Nothobranchius furzeri: one gene and its partner. The protein of the gene in region 2 binds, or shares a complex with, the protein of the main gene of each other region. Links are inferred from orthologs where the notes say so. Each region holds a gene or a part of one and is shown on either strand. Other genes may lie near its edges.

The links. The genes of interacting proteins can lie anywhere in the genome.
Region 1: the proteins of cct5 (region 2) and dcaf12 are in contact, whole or in part, in a cryo-EM structure (PDB 8AJM), measured with the Homo sapiens proteins. The link is inferred for Nothobranchius furzeri from reciprocal best matches to the Homo sapiens genes CCT5 and DCAF12. Residues at the interface, in NP_036205.1 of Homo sapiens: Gly537, Glu538, Ser539, Glu540, Glu541; in NP_056212.1 of Homo sapiens: Lys91, Phe93, Lys108, His144, Trp186, Phe188, Arg203, Lys254, Arg256, Glu298, Val300, Arg344, Phe411, Tyr422, Leu440, Pro441, Ser442, Gly443.

What each region holds. Positions count from the first base shown.
Region 1 is NC_091743.1:55,581,422-55,585,548, reverse strand, and holds the start of dcaf12 (DDB1- and CUL4-associated factor 12), read left to right. Parts: upstream 1-1,327; 5' UTR 1,328-1,907; coding exon 1,908-1,967; intron 1,968-3,284; coding exon 3,285-3,575; intron 3,576-4,127. UniProt on the Homo sapiens protein: Substrate-recognition component of a DCX (DDB1-CUL4-X-box) E3 ubiquitin-protein ligase complex of the DesCEND (destruction via C-end degrons) pathway, which recognizes a C-degron located at the extreme C terminus of target proteins, leading to their ubiquitination and degradation.
Region 2 is NC_091747.1:54,098,038-54,101,994, reverse strand, and holds the start of cct5 (T-complex protein 1 subunit epsilon), read left to right. Parts: upstream 1-1,157; 5' UTR 1,158-1,311; coding exon 1,312-1,416; intron 1,417-1,786; coding exon 1,787-1,847; intron 1,848-1,978; coding exon 1,979-2,143; intron 2,144-2,544; coding exon 2,545-2,743; intron 2,744-2,868; coding exon 2,869-3,061; intron 3,062-3,154; coding exon 3,155-3,304; intron 3,305-3,393; coding exon 3,394-3,513; intron 3,514-3,590; coding exon 3,591-3,776; intron 3,777-3,853; coding exon 3,854-3,957. Other genes in the region: mtrr (methionine synthase reductase), read right to left, coding at 321-464. UniProt on the Homo sapiens protein: Component of the chaperonin-containing T-complex (TRiC), a molecular chaperone complex that assists the folding of actin, tubulin and other proteins upon ATP hydrolysis.

The sequences.
Region 1 (4,127 bases), on a different chromosome or scaffold from region 2:
TGTGCTAATCTTTTTAGGTGAGCTGCTCTTTTCCCTTCTTAAGACCATTTTAATTTTACAACAAATGCATTGGATAAGAACTGCAGATAAGTACAAATTCCTCTTAACTTCCCTTCATGCAGATGTGTTAATTTTCTTTCTATTCAGGTGACAAAACAGATTGTCCATTTAGGTTTTGTCCTTCACACCTAGAAACATCCTACTGCAAGGCCTAGTCAGCAGAAAAGATAAAAAAAAAGAAAAACAGGCTGAGGCCATTTACAGCCTGATTGTGGTCTGGTCTTTCAGAAAAATGTCAAGTCATGTAATGCAACTTCAAACAAGTCTCACTAAAATCCTACATGGTGCTCACCAATTGCATAATTTCAGATTTAAGAGTTATATTTTAGTTCTCATACAATAGAATCCAGTGATCCAGTAGTTATGTGATATTTTGTGGCAATTGTTTTATATACTTCTTATAGCCAGTTGGGGTCCATAATATGGACGTTATTTAGAAACATCCAGTTTTGTAGAGAAATATTTTTCAAGTTCTGAAGTGATTTAAAGTAGTAAAGAAGTGATTCAAAATAAATAGCTTTAGAATTATAGAGAGTTGCAAAACACAGAGGAGGTGCTGTCATGGTTTGGGGCTACATGAATATTGTAAAGTTGCAAAAGAAATTTTTTAACCGCAAACTCGTCGTCAGATGTGTTGCCCTGCCCCGTGTCGAATCCACATATTGGCCTTGTTCGAGTTGAGCCAGGTCTGCGCAGATTAGATCACCGATGTTCGCCGCAACACCCGGTTAGATTTGAGTCCGACTTGATGCCGATTTGCTCTGACGTCATGCATACGTAGGCAACGATATCCTCGTGAGATCAAGGCGGCCGAGAGAAGGGTCTTTTTCAAGTTGAGCAGCGCCTCGCCTAGAAAGCACACGAGAGCAAACGCACGCAGCTGGGGGAGTGGCTGAAAGTCGGCGTTTATGCAATTCATTCATTAATGTGTTATTTGTGTTAATGTGTTATTTTCTCGCGTTTCCTACGAGCACACTAAAACTACAGCTGATAACCTTTACTTATTATTATAGTCATATCTTCATATACAATATATTATATCCACAAGCATGTGAGGATGTGTTTCGGTTGCTAAGAGGCACCAAAATTCAAACTACAAATTAAACAAGTATGAACTCTAACACGATATCTTAATCGACCAAATCTCGCGAGAATTCACCTTGCAACGCAAAAAGATGAAAAACGCAAGGTTATCTTAACTTTACCGTATTTTCTTTTTAATTTGAAATAACAAATGATATTAGCACTGGAATGGGCAATTCACAATTTTTGCAATAACGAAAGCACATTCTGGTGAAATAGCTCTTAATGCTGAAGAAGTTAAATTACCCCAACCCTTTAACTGTCCTAATTATTCATATAAAAGATATATACGGTTTACTAAAGTGTACACCCGCACAAATGAGTGTTTATGTTGTAGAATAGTTAAATCTGAGATGGTGCTGAAAAAAAAACACAATTGATGTGAACGAGCACGCATGACGTCCTCGTTCACGTACGACCTTGTTTTTGTTGATGCTAATTTGCGTGCGGCTGCGCACTGCCGGGTGCATTTGCCGTTATCGTTAGCCGCGATTTAGCTTAAGAAAAAAAGAGTGTTTACGTCCTTTAGTGAATTTGTCGGAATTTATTTTTTACAACCCAACTTTTGTATAATTTATCTGGGAATATAGCAAGCTAACTTCACTGCCTTCAGCTGACCAACCTTATCCGAATGTGATCGCCCTTCCTTGTCGGACACTGCCATCGAGGGCCAAGGAACAAACTACCAAATCGCCATTATATGATCCAGTGTCCAGCGTTACTTTTACCCTCCATGTGGGTGAGGGAGCTGTGTGTGTCAGATTATGGCGAGAAAAACAGTTAGCAGGAAAAGGAAGGCAGGAGAGCCAAAGGACCAACAACAGGTAGGCGGAAACCGGTTGTATTAGCATTCCAACTAACACGGTGCTAGCCCGAGTTAGCACCTACAGGCTATCATAATATCTGATTTATATGTAAATAATTGTCCGGTGTTTTAAAACGACCAAACGATGGTCCAAACGCCAGCTAATTCAGCTAATAAACGAATGGCTACATTTGAAAGCAATAACCATTTAATGTTAGCATGACGTTAGCCAACGGCAACGCGTTATCTAACGACAGCTAAGAGCTACCCGCTGGGTGCGCTATGTCATTATTCATTGTAACTATATTTTAATAACATCGTTGCATGCGGGTGAATGAAACTAGCAGCCATTTGCCTGACTGGAGGCAACGTTATCACCGTTTCAATGAGAACGACGTCAAACAAATGTCTAACCTGCAGAGTTAGCCAAAATATATCACCCTGGTTTGCCAGTTACATTTAGGCCTGATCAAAATTACAATCTGAATATTTTACAGCAATGCCCCTATCTATCTGTCTGTCTGTCTGGGGGAAGGTCTGTGGTGAGGGATCACACTTTTTCACATGTTTTAGGTATGTCCCTACTCGAACTCGTCCAATTCAAATGATTCAACTCTGTTTTCGTATGAATGCCACCTTGATGCGCCAAACTGATTTTCAGGCTAATTGTTGCCTAAAAGAAATCTTAAAAATTCAGGAAATTATAAAATCATAACCTTTCAACACTCAGATCTGTTCAAATGTTCTTCACGAGCCTGAAACAGTTAAGGGGAAAATAGATTCCTTTTAAATTTGTTTTATTTTACTGTAAATCAAAATTAAATGATTTTTATAGTTTGTGAGTTTATTGGTTAAAACAAAAATGTCCTCCCATATTTAATATTTGTGTACTTGCTATAAAGAAGAAAAAACGGTTTAGCATATTGTATCAAACTATAGAATGAAAATTTGAATAATGCACCTGATTATTGTAAAAGTGAGCTGTTCTACCAACTGTTTTTGTTATTGTATTTTTAGGGATGTGGAAATTAAATTTTTTTTATATTATAACCTAAAGCAAGTCCTGTGTATTATCTTATTTCATGATTTAAAAATATACTTAATAAGCATTAACCTTGGCAGTGTGCATGTGTGTGCTTTTATTGCACCTCTTATAATCTGGAAAAACTCTTTAGTCTGTGTCAGTGAGCAATGTTTTCTTGGTTCTGTTGGGCTAAGGTACAGAGTAGCACAGACTGAAACAGCAACACTGATAAAGCACATATGCTGTTTTACATTCTTCAGCAATCTGTTTCTCTTTAAATACTTGAACCGTTTTCCTGTCCTATTTCCACAGCTGGGCTGGAGTCAGGCACCACACAAGCGGAGCCGTGTTTCTTGTTCATCTCGGCACGCCCAGCAGTGGTTGTGCAGTCAGAGCTCTGTCGTGTGTGCCCTCCGCGGGCGTGAGTTCAGACCTCAGCAGCAGCATGAGTTGCGGTTCCAACGGAGCCTGCGTGGCTTTGCAGCAGGCAGGCTACCTGGGATCCTCAAAGAGAAGGAATTTTCACTGGGAAGACTCAACAAGGTGTTTGCGTCGCAGTGGCTCAGCCACCGGCAGGTGGTATGTGGGACTAAGTGTAACACGGTGAGATGCCTTTAAACTGTCACTGAGACCTTTTCATACATTTGTAACATCTGATGTAATCATCTGCTAAATGAGTAAGTCTGTCTGGATTTGAATAATTTTCTGAAAGTGCTAGACCCAGTTATTAGAATATTTCAACCGGCTTATGAAAAGTTATCACCTTAAATACATTTGAAAGCTTATATTATTCAGTATATGGCATTTTTGATTGATTCTGATTAACCACGTTTTGCAAAGTATTAGATTAAGCATTTTAAGACTATGATTCAAGATGTTTTAAGATATTTTTCTGACAAAAAAATAGAAGACATAAAGAATTCTTTCCCTCAAGTTTTGTATTAAGTCATTTATTATTTAAAAAGAAGCTTAAAATCAATTTGATGCCCTTGTTTTATGGTGGAGCTTATTTCCTTTGATGCAAGTTCAAAATAACAATTGTGTAATACTTTTTAACGACTGCTCATTGTTTATTTTAGCACTCTTGTCATTATTTTGTTTATTGGAATAGAATAGACTTTATTAATCCCACATTGGGGAACTTCACTTGTTACA
Region 2 (3,957 bases):
CATAATATGCATGCTTTATTATCCAACAATGTAATTGCAACACGTGAAGTTATTATTTATTTTTTGTGCATCTGGTGTTAACAATATTTATTTTCACTGTTTCCCTGCAAGCCCACTATTAAGTGTCACCAAACACGCAGGTAAAGGTAGAAAAGCACATAAGCCAGCCGTGAAATAGGTGTGGGAAAAGGGTGCATGCTACGATGATTTAGTGTTAATACATGAGTAGTCTGACCTGCTAGACTCGTCCTAATACACGAGGCCCCTGGCAAATTCCTGCGGCTACTGAGTCTGTTTCACGTAAATTTATTAACATCTACCTTCTCATTTTGGTCCAAGCAGCTGAGATCAGCAGTCAGACCGTGCTCCTCAGCCTCCTCGGCTATCCCCTCAGCTATAGCCTGAGCTTGGCCCTTCTGGGACCCAAACAGCACCACAAATCGATGCTTCACCTCACAAGGCATGCTGGGGGGAAACAGATAAACAGATAAATATTTAGGCAATTCTAAAACGCCACAGGTAAAATAGTGAGACTAACTAATCAATTATCAGCTGCATTTTAACAAACATCTCAGCTTACCAACATACTTGGACAAATAAAAGGCAGGCTGCCACAGAAACACGTTTAACACACCGCTACGCCACCATTACCGTCAGTACCAGGATGTTGCGTCAAACTTTGACTAGTTACCAAAACAGCGCACGTGGACGTTTTTCACTCAAGAACACTTTATGAACATAACATTTCATATTTGGTCCGTAAACTAATTCGGAATTCCGAGAAACTCGACTCACTTTCTTTAGAGAATCGTGTTTTCTGGCATTAGTCCGTAATAAATACACAGGAAATACAAGCAGTTTAAAGTTAATAAAGTATTTCTACCTTTTTAAATTGTATGAAAATTCACCTCGTCAACTCCTTGCCAACATACCGGTAATTAGTCTTGTTACTGAATTCACGCGAGATCTGAGCTCAAACTGAGATTGCGCGTGATCGGAACAAACCAAGTTACGACAAAGACGTTCCCCTTGTTTAAAATTTGTTGTCAGTTGCAATGATATTAATTTGTATGATTGTGACTAATTTATGATATAGTTGTTCAAGCCTTTTGTCGTTTATAAAAAAGGTGACAGGAATGGAAGAAAACACGCTGAACTGAATTTGGTTCCGCCCTCCCCACCCGTGGAGCCTTCCAGAAGTCCCCGGCAGATCCGTGCGGCTTGCAGTTCAGCCACACTCCAGGATCACATCATTAAACGCGTTATTCTGTCAGATAAACGCCGATTGTGTGTTCTAAACTCCAAATCAGCATGTCCACTTTGGGCACATTAGCCTTTGATGAATATGGAAGGCCCTTCATCATCATTAAAGACCAAGACAAGAAGACACGCTTATCGGGCATTGATGCACTGAAGGTACAATGAGCTAGCTAGCATACATGTAGCGTGATGGCCTAACAAGCAAACCTGCTATTAGATATTTAATTTGGTTACAACACGAATTTATACATACGGCTTTGTGTTGCATGAGTGAATTTGTCCAACACATTCTGATGTTTGTGCAAAATAAGCTGAATTAGATTAGGAAATGAAATGAATTCGTTAGCTATGCTAAGAAGAGGCCCATGTGCTCCCTGTGCGTTCATCTAGTAGGAGGTGCTACATAGGGCTGTACCCTGCATGGTCATGTACATCACCCATACAGCCGACACGCTGTTTACATGCCTTTTGAGGGTGACTTTTAGAGGTAAAATGTGTTTTGATATGCACTTGTTTTGTTTTACAGTCTCACATAATGGCAGCCAAGGCAGTGGCATCAACGCTTAAGACATCTTTGGGTCCAAACGGTACGATCCAGTGCAGTGATGTCATTTCACTTGAATAACTGCTGAGATGTCGAGAGTCTGTGTGACCATTAGATTATTAATTTAATCTAGTTACAAACACAGCAGGTTTACCATGTCATGTCACCGTTTAGGTCTTGACAAGATGATGGTTGACAAGGATGGAGAAGTAACTGTCACTAATGATGGCGCCACCATTCTCAGCATGATGGATGTGGACCACCAGATTGCCAAGCTGATGGTGGAACTGTCCAAATCCCAAGATGATGAGATTGGTGATGGAACCACTGGAGTTGTTGGTGTGTAAACGTGTGCAGAAGGAACATTGTGTGAATGCTTTTTGTAGATGAACATGTGATATATGTTCTGTGTTAATTAATTTTATATAGAATTCTTGGTTAGTATTGATATTTTTATTTTAGTTAAATAGTTTTAATTCGGTAAAGTGCATAAAATTAGGTTTTGGCAGGTAAATTATGAGTTCCTAAAAGTGATTTGTGTGCTGCTACTATTGGGGCATTTTAGCATGCAAATGAATCAGAAAATGTCTAGATATCGGCCAAAAAGTGACAACTCGTATCGGCAATGACTCATACTTGTTGGTATTGGGGAAAGAAAACCCCATAACGGTCTACCTCCACTACCTACTGCTCTTCTAATGCATTTCTGACTCTGTTTACCTATTTTCCTGCATCCTCAGTGCTGGCTGGATCGCTGCTTGAGCAGGCCGAGCAGCTGCTGGACCGAGGAATCCACCCCATCAGGATCTCCGATGGTTACGACCAAGCTGCACGCATAGCCATAGAGCAGCTGGACAAAATAGCAGAAACTTTCCCCTTCGATCCCAACAACACCGAACCACTCATTCAGACTGCCATGACAACGCTGGGGTCAAAAGTGTAAATTAAATTATTATTTTAGTAGTTGTTGATGCCATTTTCCTGTGCCCCTGTGACCTGGCTGCTTTTTAAGTGAGTTATTGAGATTTGACAAATCACCTTTTAATCCTATTGTTGTTATCTAGCATCAACCGGTGCCACAGACAGATGGCGGAAATTGCAGTGAATGCCATCCTCACTGTGGCCGACATGGAAAGGAAGGATGTAGACTTTGAGCTCATCAAGGTGGAGGGCAAGGTGGGAGGAAAGCTGGAGGACACACAGCTCATTAAGGGAGTCATAGTGGATAAGGAGTTCAGCCACCCTCAGATGCCCAAGGTATGATTTAAAATATAAATGTTTGTTGTAAATATTGCTGCATTTTTGTGATGCTTTAACGTGCCTGAGCTAACAAATTCTCTTTTCAATTAGCTTCTCAAAGATGTTAAAATCGCTATTCTAACCTGCCCGTTTGAGCCTCCTAAACCCAAGACCAAACACAAGTTGGATGTGACCTCCGTTGAGGACTACAAAGCCCTCCAGAATTATGAAAAAGAGAAGTTTGAGGAGATGATCCAGCAGGTTAGTAATTCTCACAAATCCCGATGCTACAAAAATGACTTTTTGTGGTTCATGCAAATCAAGGAAGAATAAAAACACCTTAATTCTAGGTCAAAAGCACTGGTGCTAACTTGGCCATCTGCCAGTGGGGCTTTGATGATGAGGCCAACCATCTTCTGCTGCAAAGCGAGCTGCCTGCTGTGCGCTGGGTTGGAGGGCCTGAGATTGAGGTGAGGTAGAAGTCTTGCATGTGAAAGGTCAGAATGAGCTACCCTTGCTACGAGCTCACCCTTTGGTGTTTTGTTAGTTGATTGCTATAGCTACCGGAGGCCGTATTGTGCCGAGGTTCTGCGAGCTGACACCAGAGAAGCTCGGAACCGCTGGCTTGGTGAAGGAGATCTCCTTTGGCACAACCAAGGATCACATGCTCGTCATCCAGGAGTGCAAAAACACCAGGGCTGTAACCATTTTCATCCGAGGCGGCAACAAAATGGTACGCTCTCACAAGGCTGTATCGTTTTTGTCCTTTTTCATCACATTCATGTCTAATGGTCAAAACCTTTTCATTAGATCATTGAGGAAGCCAAGCGTGCTCTCCACGATGCTCTGTGTGTAATCCGCAATTTGGTGAAAGATAACCGTATTGTGTATGGGGGCGGAGCTTCAGAGATAGC